3 linked regions of the Ovis aries genome follow. The protein of the gene in region 3 interacts with the protein of the main gene of each other region in a biochemical or structural test. Links are inferred from orthologs where the notes say so. Each region holds a gene or a part of one and is shown on either strand. Other genes may lie near its edges.

Evidence for each region.
Region 1: the proteins of TRIM72 (region 3) and UBE2H form a complex in vitro, tested with the Homo sapiens proteins (2 studies listed by BioGRID). The link is inferred for Ovis aries from reciprocal best matches to the Homo sapiens genes TRIM72 and UBE2H.
Region 2: the proteins of TRIM72 (region 3) and INSR form a complex in vitro, tested with the Homo sapiens proteins (2 studies listed by BioGRID). The link is inferred for Ovis aries from reciprocal best matches to the Homo sapiens genes TRIM72 and INSR.

The regions. Positions count from the first base shown.
Region 1 is NC_056057.1:95,429,595-95,433,665, forward strand, and holds the start of UBE2H (ubiquitin-conjugating enzyme E2 H), read right to left. Parts: upstream 2,801-4,071; 5' UTR 2,363-2,800; coding exon 2,310-2,362; exon of another isoform or gene 1-2,309. UniProt on the Homo sapiens protein: Accepts ubiquitin from the E1 complex and catalyzes its covalent attachment to other proteins. E2 ubiquitin conjugating enzyme that transfers ubiquitin to MAEA, a core component of the CTLH E3 ubiquitin-protein ligase complex.
Region 2 is NC_056058.1:13,933,467-13,937,642, reverse strand, and holds the start of INSR (insulin receptor), read left to right. Parts: upstream 1-1,376; 5' UTR 1,377-1,861; coding exon 1,862-1,961; intron 1,962-4,176. UniProt on the Homo sapiens protein: Receptor tyrosine kinase which mediates the pleiotropic actions of insulin.
Region 3 is NC_056077.1:27,809,983-27,814,170, forward strand, and holds the start of TRIM72 (tripartite motif-containing protein 72), read left to right. Parts: upstream 1-1,386; 5' UTR 1,387-1,561; intron 1,562-1,980; 5' UTR 1,981-1,987; coding exon 1,988-2,377; intron 2,378-4,188. UniProt on the Homo sapiens protein: Muscle-specific E3 ubiquitin-protein ligase that plays a central role in cell membrane repair by nucleating the assembly of the repair machinery at injury sites.

The DNA of each region.
Region 1 (4,071 bases), on a different chromosome or scaffold from region 3:
ATCTCAGACATGTACAATTTTAAAGCGCCTCTGCTTTCTTTTGTCAGAAAGGAGGAAGGTGGGGAAAGAACAGAAGGCCAATGCATCTTTGCCTTTCTTCATCTTCTACTAAAAATAAGCTATGAAATAAGCCACTTAGGGGAAGAAAAAAAAAGAAAGACACCCTGCTGTTCTTTGTCTGTTTTCTTCCCCCTCTCCACCCCCCACACCCCACTCCTAAATACGGTGATCATTCTAGATGCCACAACTACTAAATGAACAAAAGGCACTGTATGGAAAAGGCATCAGGTCAAGTAAGGCCTCACCCTCTTTATCCTCAGCCTTCTAAAAAAATATATGTAAGTATATAATTTGAGAATCTGACATTGATCAAAGACAGCTGGAATTCTCTCTCACCCCCATCCCAATTAAACATTAGGTAGAAATTTGCATTAGGTGTGACAGTAAGTCTCAATTCAAGATAAAAATAACTCAAGATTCTGCCACCATGTCATTTCCTAGTTTCTAAACAAAAATAAAACCCGAAACTGCTTTGTGTAAAATGTACACACAGCCATAGTTACAAGTTTTCCTGCCACCTTATGAAAAGCCAACATTACTGGTATTATTCACACATTTACAAAACTCAATCACAGCCACAAACAGCTCATAAAGAGTCAATTTCACTTGTGCCTAAACATATATTTGGTACATAATATATACTTTATTACTTGCTCCTCTAATTCCCACTCCCACCTCCCCCAAATTCTAAACTTCTAACCCTAAACTGAGACGTTCATGTACTGTTCCTAATTTCTAATCAAGTTTTCCTGAGTGAAGAGAAAAACATCTTATTCCTGAAAAGATTATGGGGTGGGGGGGGGCAGAGAAGAATCACTTGCCCAGGCAACTTCCCTTCCATCCCCCACTTCTAAACCAAATGAAAAAAACTACTTTTTTAAAACTTCAGCGAATTCTTTAAGTGAGTGTTCAACAATAACCATTGATCTCTACAAACTGGTAAAACATCCAATCAAAAACAGTAACAATAAAAGGAAGAAAGAAGGAATTCACCTGAAGAATCTAGCCAAACAACTTGAGTTATATAAACAAAACCCAGCAACAGGGGGAAATGGTGGGGGGATGGGGGTGAAGGAGAAACAGAAGCAGGAGACAGGACTTTTTAAACTGCGTTTCACACACTACCACTCTCCAGCCCCGGGTTCCCCCTCTCCCCAGGGATTCAGTCTTTCAGAACCCTGGGCTCCTCTCTCTCATCTCTCTCTAAATTACCCCTCAAAAAATGTCTCGATTTGTCACAGGAACCTTCGCGAATTTCTCTAGCTGGTCATGAAATAATCGGTCTGGACTCCAACCAAAACCACTGCCTGAAGGACTCTTATCAGTTAGAGCTTTCCCACTGCTACCTCCAAAGTACATAAAGTTGGGGTGGGGGGAGTAGGAAAATAAAGGGTGTCACTTGGCAAGAACAGGGCAGTTATTATGAGCACCTTATTCTCATACAGGGAGTTTGCTTAACTGGCTAGTGCAGGGGCTATTTGGTCAAGGAGATCCCCTTTTTCTCCTTCCCCCTCAGCTGTCATAGCCACAATATGGAGGGTGGCTTGCTGGAGGGCCTGGGGGTCCTCACCACATACTATGGGTGGGATAGGCTTTGTCGGTAGGAAGAAAAGAGTGAGGTTCTTCTAAGGACCAGAAAGCTTAATAGGGGTAGCTGATCTAAAATATTCAGAGCTCTTTAATACAAGAGGGGGGCACTGAGCAGACTACTCTCTTCCTAATATAGAAAGGAATTAGGGATAAAGGAGGTCACTTGAGTTACCCCAGTTCAAGAAGCACTGTGAGAGGAGGGAATGGAGGCATCTCAAGAAAAGGAGAAAGGCTTCGCTCTAGGGAATTTCTATCTCGAATCCCCAAATTCAGAGCGAGCAAACAGGAAAAAGAAGGTGGGCTTGGTGGTGAAGAGAGAGGGCTGGTACTGCAAAAAAAAAAAAAAAAAAGGCCCATTTGGGAGTCCAAATGTCGTGGAGAAAAGTCACGGGGGCTGAAGGTGCGGAAAGAGCGTGAACAACGCACATTTCGGGGTGCTGCAGATAAAGGGGGAGCTGAGAAGGATCTCGGCTCCTGGGAGGTGCCAAAGAGCCTCCGTAGGCACTGGGAGGAGGGAGGGGTGGGAGGAAGCCTTGGACAGTGGGCTGGAGTGCCCCTGGGCCCCTGATTAGGTTTCAGGGGGTGCCCCGGGCATCCCCATATCGTCCCCCACGTAGAACCCGAATTCCCCACCCCCCGCCCCGCTCCACGAAGGATACAGCTTGACCACGTCCGTGTCCATCCGCCTCTTGCCCGGACTAGGGGATGACATGGTGTCGCCGCTGCCTCCCCGTCGCCTGCGCCGCCGCCGCCTCTCGCCCTTCCTCAGCCCGCCTGTCACGGGCCCCGGGCCCCGGCTCTGAGGAGCCCGCGGCCGCGCCGGCTCCTCGATGGAGGTGGCAACACCCCCGCGGTCCTGTTTGGTCCCGTCAGCCGCCGCCGCCGCCGCCGCCCCCCGCACGGGGGGGAACACCGGGCACTGTCCGGCCGAGTGGGGGTGGGGACCCCGCGGCGCACGGCTCGGGCTGCCCCTCTCCGGCTGTGGGTTCCGCCGCGGCCCGGACCTGGCGCTCCTCTGCGCCGCGCGTCGCTCCCTCCTGCCTGCTCTAGCTCTCTCGCCTGCTCGCCCGCTCACCCTCTCGCCGGCTCCCAAGCTGCCTCCACGACAAGCGGACGACTCCTGCTCAATCGGCCTCTCTACCCCAGCCTCGCTCTGGGCGCCGTGACGTCACCTCTGTGACGTCATTGGAGGGGCGGGCCCAGCTGGCGAAAGGGGTGGGGTGCCGCGGCGGCGGCGTGAGTTTAGCAGGGGATTCTGGGAGTTGTAGTTCCTCTTTTTCCTGCCCGTCCAGCTTTCTGCCCCCCCTCCCCCAACTCCCTCACACTTAATCGCTCAACTGTCAGCGTCGTTGTCATCATCAAAAACGATAATGATTAAATAATGGCAGTATCATCATATTCATGTGTTTTAGGGTAATGAACCTCCTTCCCACATACACTGTTTAAAAGTCTGTTTATTTGATTTAAGGAAGCCAAGGTGGAAATTAACCCAGACAGTTACCAAAATCTAGAAATTCCTAAACCAGCAGGTCCCCTGCCCTCTGCTCCCACCTTGAAAGGAGAGAATAGCCAGGCTTCTTCAAGCTTGCAAATCAGGGTTTGCTATCCTTCATATGTATAGGGTCATTTTTTCAAGGATTAGAATTGAGACAGCATGATGGCAATTTAGTTGTAACATCTTTACACAGTTATGTGGTGATTTCACAAAGTGAATGACTGAAAGAAGCAGAAGTACCCCAAATATGCTGCTGTTTAGGACAAAGTTTGTTCTGCCTTCCAAACGTCTAGAGCAGGCCTATAACTTCATCATTCATTCAGTAAGCATTTATTGATCACCCATTGTGTGGTAATCACTGCTGGACATGAGGATATCATGGTGAACTAAGAAAGACTTTAAATTTACACAGCCCTCCCAATGTGGTCTAGATCTAGACTGTCAGCATCACCTGGGAACTTGTTAGAAATGCAGGCTAGAGCTTCACCTCAGACCTACTGAATTAGAATTTGCAGTTTAACAAGGTCCCCCGGTGATTCCTTTGTGCACTAAAGTTTGAGAGACACTGCTCTACAAGGCACTCCAAAAGAAGTGATGTGGAATCCAGGAGTCAACCAGGCAAAGAGGGCAGGAAGGAGTGTTCCAGGCAGCTCCTGTATTTATATCACATTTTTTTTCACTGCCATCTATTTTCAAAATTTTTATCTATTCCTTTGTCCCCATGAATACACTTGTAGTCTGTCAAACCACGTGCTGTGAGTTGGGTCCCCTTATGTAACCTCCTATGTATGCACATACACAGAAACACACACACACACACACACATGAACCTGGAGCAGCAGTAATCACCTAAAATTGAATGTTGTTTGCGCCTATCATGTCATCCCCCAAAAGACCCGTTATTGTTGCATGTGTGTGTTAATTAT
Region 2 (4,176 bases), on a different chromosome or scaffold from region 3:
TGTGTGTGTGTATGCACACGAGCTCAGTCATGTCGAACTCTTTGCGACTCCATGGACTGTAGCCTGCCTCTACCCATGGGATTTTCCAGGCAAGAATACTGGAGTGGGCTACCATTTCCTCCTCCAGGGGATCTTCCTGACCCAGGAATCTAACCTGCGTCTCCTGCATTGGTGGGCAAATTCTTTACCACTGAGCAACCTGGGAAGCCCTTGCTGCTGCTGCTGCTACTGCTGCTAAGTCGCTTCAGTCGTGTCTGACTCTGTGCGACCCCATAGTCGGCAGCCCACCAGGCTCCCCTGTCCCTGGGACTCTCCAGGCAAGAACACTGGAGTGGGTTGCCATTTCCTTCTCCAATCCATGAAGGTGAAAAGTGAAAGTGAAGTCGCTCAGTCCTGTCCGAGTCTTAGGGACCCCATGGACTGCAGCCTACCAGGCTCCTCCCTCCATGGGGTTTTCCAGGCAAGAGTACTGGAGTGGGGTGCCATCGCCTTCTCCGGGAAGCCCTTACAACTCACCAAATCTGACCTGAAGGTGTCCTTACGTGCATCATACAGATGAGGCCCATCGAGAGAGAGAAAAATTACTCATTCAAGCAGATTCTCACTCCGTTCTGGCTTCTCTGTGCTTAAGGCCCCTCTTCAGCAGGCGGGGTGGCCACTGTCACGTGACTGACGTTCAAACACACACGGACTCTGGGTCTGCGCATTGAAACTTGGGTGTGTCCACCTGTGTTCTACCGAAGATCTCCAGCGCCTGGTTTGCACTTTTTTTTTTTTTTGCTAGTTTCTACACTTTCTCCTAAGGGTCATTTCTCCACCTTGAACCACGCATCGTGCGGAGGGGCCAGGCTACCCAATACTTGAGCGCACGCGGCACGCTCGTGCACGTGGCTGTCCCCAGGGGCCTGGCTCTGGGCGGGGGCGCACTCTGGGGTAGGACATCCGGGGCGCTCGAGGGCCATACTCACTGGCCAGACTGTGACGAGGGGAAGGTGAACGCAACATTTAAGGGAGTACCAAAAAGCCGAGTAACCACGATAAACAATATTTTAATGCAATATTTAAAAAAATAAAAATGAATTTTCTAAAGTCCCACGAAGAACAAACTAGCAAAATGTTTTAAACACGCGATCCGACTTGCTGAGTTGGTCAATCTGGGGCGCTCCCGGGCTCTGAGACAGGAGTCCTGGGGCTGTACGGGGCGCTGGGGCTGGGCAGGCATCTAGGGCGCCCCCTCGGCTACGGCGCGACGGGGGCCTCCAGCGCGGGGCCCAGGATAGGGAGACCGGCGGGCGGGCGGGGCGGCGCCTCCCCCCTGCCCGTCCTCCTTCCACCCCTCTCGGGCCTCTGCCGGGCGCCGAGTCCCTTCCGAGCCCAGATCCGCGCCGCCTTTTCCCGCGGCCCGAACGGGGCCCAGCTGACGGGCCGCGTTGTTTACGGGCCGAGCAGCCCTGGCTCCCGCCGCCTGCCCGCCACCCGCCAGCCCAGGTGCCCGCCCGCCTGTCCGCACGTCCGTTTGTCCGCGCGTCCGAAGATCGGAGCTCCGGAGCGCTCGGGGCCAAGAGCCTAGAGTCAGGGGGGCGCAGCGCGGGGCTCCGGGCCCTGAGATCGTCGGGACGGGGGCGCGGGCCGCGGGGGCCCGGAGTCGGGACCGTCTCCACCCGGCCGCGCTGCCGGATTCGTAGCAGCGGAGGCCGCGCGCCCCTCCCGGGGCCGTATCTAGAGTCCTCCCGGGCGCAGGCTGCGGGACCTTGGGCTGCCCGCGTGGAAGAGAAGGACGCGCGACCCCCAGCGCCTCTGGGGCGGCCGCCTCGGAGCATGCACCCCGCCAGCCAGCGCCCCGCGCTCTGATCCTTCAGCCATGGGCGCCGGGGGCGGGAGCGGGGCGGCAGCCGTGCTGCTGCTGGTGGTCGTCGCCGCGCTGCTGGTGGGCGCCGCGGGCCACCTGTACCCTGGAGAAGGTGAGTCTGGGGGGTCCCGGAGCGGGCGGGAAGCCGCGCGGGTGGGGAGGGGACCCTTTGCCAAAATGGAACCACCCCCCGTTGTGGACGGAGTGCCGTCCTCCGTCGGAGGGCTGGTGGCTCGGACGGTTTCTCCGGCCTCGCGGGGGGCGGGAAGCCGCTGACCTTGGCCTTTGCCCGCCTGGGCTAGCGGTTCCACGACCCGCATGCGGCCCGGGGCTGGAGGAACCTTGCCCTAGTGCCCGCCCCTCCGCGGGCGCCTCTCCCGAGAGCGCTCCTCGAACCCCCGTGTCTGGGCCTCTCTGAGCCCACCACCTGGCTCCAGAGACGGGACACACGTCCTCTCTGGGTCGCCTCCGAGAAGTAGGGTCATCGGACACTCTCACACAGCCAAATGCCCCGGGCACAGACGGTTTGGAGTGAGAATCGAGGGTGACTGACTGAAGGCAGGGTGGTCCCTTGAGATCCCAGCAGCTTGGTGACGCTCCCCCAGGGGCCGAGGAAGTGTAGAACCCGCCCCTTTCTTTCTGGTATCTAGACCCACGGCTACCCCTGACTTCAGGTCCATGTTTATACTCTGGAATTCTGTTTCCAGATGTCGGAGGCAAGCTCTAGCCCTTGGCAACAGCGCAGCTGTAGTAGCAGTAGTGTTGGCTTTTATGATTATTATAGCTGGTGTCACCAGATGCCTCGGGCTGGCCGGTCTTATCTGTCTGGATCTCTGCAGCAGCCCGTGGAGGCTGATACTGTTGTTGGTCCATTTCATAGAGGAGTAAACTGAGGCTCAGGAAGGACACAGAATTCACTTGCCCCAGAATCAGAGCTAGAGAGAAGACAAACCTCTCTGGCTCTGCCCAGGGCTCTGCCCAGCTGCCCACGCCCCAGGAACCCCTGGTAACCTCCCTCCTCTACCTTTTTACCTGTCAGCTGGGCAGGTCTCTAATCTGTGGTCAGCCCAGCACCTTGCCCCCTCTCCCTTCCAATTCTCCCTCATGAGTGTCCCTGGGCTAGCAGCTCCCTGGTATGGGGAGAGGGGTAAGTCCCAGCATTTTCCTTGGGCTTGACAGCACGTCTTTCTGGCTGCAGGTCAAGGATGGAAAATCCTTGAAGAGAATATAACTGGGGTTTCCCACCATGATGGCGGAGGCCCTGCTTTCAAAATATGTGTTGGGTTACTTCTTCAGATTTCTCCATAAAAGGAAATCAGTCCCGATGAGGAAGGGGTCAGGCAGGGAAGGAACAGAAGTTCCTGAGTTGCCTGTCGGTGAGTGGGGATGCACGAGAAAGCACGTGGGGGCTCTGGAGTTGACAAACCGGGTTTGTGGAGCACCTTTGCCAATTAGGCAACGTCTCCAAGCACCCAAGTGCCTGGTATACAGTGAGTGCTCCTCCAAGGAAGGGTAGCAGTGGATTTAGGCTCTTGTTAGAAAAAAAACACACACACACACACACACAAAAACCCAGACCAGCTGTTAGATCTGTGTCCGGCTTTGTGTGTCCATGCCCGTGTGTGTCTGTGTGTGGGTGCACATCTGTATATGCATGCAGTTCCTTGCTCCTCTGTTCCTGGTAGCTTTAGGAATTAATGGTGGATTTGTGCCTGGGCTGGCTTTCCTGGTGGCTCAGATGGTAAAGAATCTGCCTGTAGGAGCCTGGGTTTGATCCCTGGATCGGGAAGATCCCCTGGAGAGGGGAATGGCTATCCACTCCAGTATTCTTGCCCAGAGAATCTCATGGACAGAGGAGCCTGGTGGGCTACATACAGTCCATGGGGTCCCAAAGAGTCCGATACGACTGATCGACTTTCACTTTCAGGGGTCAGTGGATGGATTTGCCACTTCTTGCATGTTTATAGCTTCCACGAGGGAGAGGCTTATGTTTCTCTGTTCACTGCCACAGTTCCAGAGTCTAGAGCAGCCCCTGACACCTAGGAGATGCTTGATACATTTATTTATTTTGACCGTGCTGGGTCTTCATTGCTGTGCTGGGCTTTTCTCTAGGTGTGAGGATCGAGGCTACTCTGTAGTTGCTGTGCATGGGATGGGCTTCTCATTCCAGCGGCTTCTCTTGTTGTGGAGACCGGGCTCCAGGGCACGCGGCTTCAGTAGTTGTGGCTCGTGTGCTCAATAGTTGTGGCTCCCTGGCCCCAGAGTGCAGGCTCAGCAGCTGTGGCACTCGGGCTTAGCTGCTCTGCAGCACATGTGGTCTTCCCATA
Region 3 (4,188 bases):
GGGGAAATAATTTCATCTTTTTTTATCTCACCTGTGGTGGGGGTGTCTGGTTACTCTCATGGGACAATTGATCTGAATCTTACAGAAACTCAGACTAACAGAGACAGAGAGTGGTCGAGGGGGAAATAAATCCAGGAAAATGCTGAGAGGTCAGAAGAGAAGGACAGAGTGAGTCCTTGTGATTTTTCATTCATTGAGTGTTCACTGAGCAACTGCTGTGTGCCCCAGACTTTGTTGGAAGTTGGAGAGGAGCAATGAACAAAATTTATGTTCTGGTAGGAGGAGACAGACAAGAAACTAACAAGTGAAATATGTTTGTGTCAGACTGTGATAAATGTTATGGAGAAAAATAAATCGAGGAAGGAAGGTGTGAGATTTAAAATCAGGGAGTTAGGAAAAGCCCCACTGAAAATGGTGACATTGGGGAAAGATCTGAGGGAGGGAGGGAAGTGGTCACACCGAAACTGTGTTTTATTTATATTTTAATGGAATATAATTGCTTTACAATATTGTGTTAGTTTCTGCTGTACAACAAAGTTTATCAGCTCTAAGTATACATACATCCCCTCTCTCTTGAGCTGCTTCCCATCCCCTCATCCTACCCCTCCAGGTCATCACAAAACATCAGACTGAGCTCCCTGTGCTATGCAGCAGCTTCCAATAACAGGGTTTTCAAGAATGTTCCAGGCAGGGGGGTTAGAAGTGCAAAGGGCAAGGCTGGAGTGAGCAGGGGGAGAGGTGAGTGATGAACAGGGTAAGAGGACTTTGGTTTTTATGCTGAATGCAATTTACACTGAGATCTGAAGGATAAGCCCCGAGGCTCCCAGAGCAGGATCGAGTTTCGACCTCTGGCCCTGGATATAGCTCATTCATTAATTCAACTGTCCCTCTGTCATTCCTTTCCTGAGCACTGAGGGAGGCCCACGTGGCCCTAGGGCTTGTGCTGAGCACTGGAAACTCCAGCTGGGGGAAGAGCGTCCCCTCAGTCCTGCAGGAAGGAAGGCTTTTGGGGTTGGAGGAGATTCTGTCCCGTGTGACTTTGTGCCTTAAGTTTGGGGAATCAGTGGGTGATAAGCTGGGGAGGGGCCACAGGCAGGCAACAGGGGAGGCTGGAAACGGTGAGGTTGGGGAGAAAGCGGAGACTCCTGCCAATCAGGTTTCTGTCTTTTCCGTGGTTTCAGAGGCCCTGTCTCTCTGCTAGCTCTGAGTTCTGGCTCCAGGCTGGGCAGGGGACAGCAGAGTGTGATGGGCCACAACAGGTGGCTTTGCCATGTGACGCTTGTCCGCTGACTGCTCAGTCCTCACTTTTAGAGCAGTTTCCAGAAGTGATGTGAGGGGATAGGCTGGGCAACCTATATATAGTCCTGGGGCCAGGGCTCAGCCTGGGAGGGTCTGTCTGCTCTTCACCGTGCGGCGCCCATCACCCGTGGTGTCCCACGACCTTGCTCTGAGCTTGGTGCTTGCTTCTCTTGAGACACAGCTCTGAGCCACCTACAGTTAGGCTTGACCTTGACTGGGCCTCTTGGGAGTCTCTTTTTAGCCAAGATCTCCAGCCAGACCTGTGAGTCCAGGGGTCCTGGTGGGGGATGGTGGCTGGGGATAAGGGGAAGGGGAGGGACAGGGGGACAGGGGCTTGCTGCGAGTCCTGGAGAGGTGAGAGAAGAGGAGAGGGCAGGGACTCTGGAGGATTTGGGATTGGGGCTGAGGCCAGGGGCCAAGTCAGGGGAAGGACACTTGGGGGTAGGACAGGGTTTGAAAGCCAGCCTCAAGTTGAGGAAGGGGGGTTGAGCCAGGTCCCTGACAGGGGCTATTTGGGTGGGGTGGGCTGGGACAGATAAACCAGTTGAGGTTGCCTTTGGGCCTGAAAGGGAGTCTCCCTTTCTCCCTTGGCCTGAGCCAGAGTCCCTTTCTGTGTGGGTTGAGAGGCCTCTGGAGGTTGGGCCCGGTCTCGCCTCCCTGACGGACCCCTCCTCCATGCAGGCCCGCCATGTCGGCCGCGCCCGGCCTCCTGCACCAGGAGCTGTCCTGCCCGCTGTGTCTGCAGCTGTTCAACGCGCCCGTAACGGCCGAGTGTGGCCACAGCTTCTGTCGCGCCTGCCTGAGCCGCGTGGCCGGGGAGCCGGCGGAGGACGGCACGGTGCTCTGCCCGAGCTGCCAGGCCCCCACGCGGCCGCAGGCGCTCAGCACCAACCTGCAGCTGGCGCGTCTGGTGGAGGGGCTGGCGCAGGTGCCGCAGGGCCACTGCGAGGAGCACCTGGACCCGCTGAGCATCTACTGCGAGCAGGACCGCGTGCTCGTGTGCGGCGTGTGCGCCTCGCTCGGCTCTCACCGCGGCCACCGCCTGCTGCCGGCCGCCGAAGCCCACGCGCGCCTCAAGGTGCGGGCCCCTCCGGCGGGGGTCGGGGTCGGATGGGATGGTTGGACCGGTCGGGGTCGGGACTATCCGACCTCAACTTCAGGGCCCGGGGCGCCTGGAGATGCCAGGGACGCGGGCGGGGCGGGGCGTCTAGGGAAGATGAGCTGAAGGCGGAGCCTGACGGAGACCAGAGCCTGGAAGAAGCGCTCGGAGACCGGCCTCGGCGAGACCAGCGCGGCCACTGGAGCGCACGCGGGGATGCGAGAGGAGCGCAGCAGCAGAGCGGAGTCTGCCTCGCTGGGGCCCTAGCGGAGGACAGGGTCGGTGCCCGCGGCCCACGCGAACAGGCTCGGCTGCTGGGCGTAGCCCTGGATAAGAGGGGCCTCGCTGTCCGGGACCGCCCCGCTCCTGCTCCCCTGGAGCTGCCAAGCTTGTAATGACCTGACAGTTACCAGATGGAGCCTCACCCAAAGGGACCTGGGAGGCCAAGGCACGCCTGCGCGGGCAACTCTGTGCACAGCCCCGAGTTGGTACCGAGACCCAAGTGCAGGCTGTTTTTGTGTTGGAGCTGGAAGTTCCGAACGCCTCCAGCCTCCACACACAGTTGTGCGCGCCCCCTAGGGTTTGCCATCTCTGCGGATGCCCAGACACTGGCAAATGGAGACGCAGGCACACGCTGGCTCGCCTGGCGTACGTGTGGCAGATCACACGCGTGTAGAGCTACAGGAGTGTATGTGTATACACGGGCCCAGGGAGATATGTCATGAAGCCATTTATAGGGTTGTTGGAAGAATAAACGACAGGTGCAGGGCTTGGTGGAGGCGGGGTCCGGAGGCTTGGAGCAGTCCACCGTCTCTGCGATGGAGAAGCTGCCACTCTCTTCAGGCAGCTGTTGAGAGTCGGGGGCGGGTAATCTTTGCCCATAAATTCAGCGTTGCAAGACACTTCTCCTTGGTCTCCAGAGTTCTAGATGGGGTAGACCCCGCCCTTAGGCCCCCCAAATCCTCCAGGGGCCCAGCCTCACCATCCCTCCCCCTCCAGCCTTGCCAGTCCCTTGGGGTGCTGGCTTGTAGTCCCCTAGCCCACTGCAGGAGGCTCCTCCTCCCAGGAGCCCACCCAACCCAGGCTCCCCTCTGCTGGTGACCCCAGAATGCCTATCCTCAACCATCTTTATCTGCAAAAAGAGAAGAGAGTCCATGAAGTGGAACGGGGCACCAGGGAGCCCAGAAGGCTCAAAGGGGCAGGCGGGTTAGGATACAGTCTTTCAGAGTCTGCATCAGTCCACTCTAAGCCCCAGGGAGGAGGTAGCTGGAGGTCTGAAGTAGAGATTCCTGGAAGGAGGGGGAAAAGTGAAAGTGTGTCTGACTCTTTGTGACCCCATAGACAGTAGCCTGCCAGCCTCCTCTGTCCATGGAATTCTCCAGGCAAGAATACTGGAGCGGGTTGCCATTTCCTTCTCCAGGGAATCTTCTCAACCTAGGGATCGAACCCACGACTTCCACGTTGCAGGCAGATTCTTTATCATCTGAGCCACATGATGGACAAGAAACCTGGGGTAAAGCAGAACACCTGGGTCCTTGGGGAGGAAGATGGGTTGGTCCAGAGAATACGTGCCAAGACTCAAGAGTGATTGGATGGGATCTGCTGGGCATCAGGGGACTCACAACCCCCAAAGTCATGTGGCCTCCTCCTGCTTGCCTCGGAGTAGAAGGACACCAGCCTGTTGGTGAGACCCATCATGCACTGTGTCAAGCACTGCTCCCCACACCTCCTCACCATGGGATGTTCCAAGAGCCTTCTCTGTTCAGCCCCTAGCCTCTACGGTGCCATCG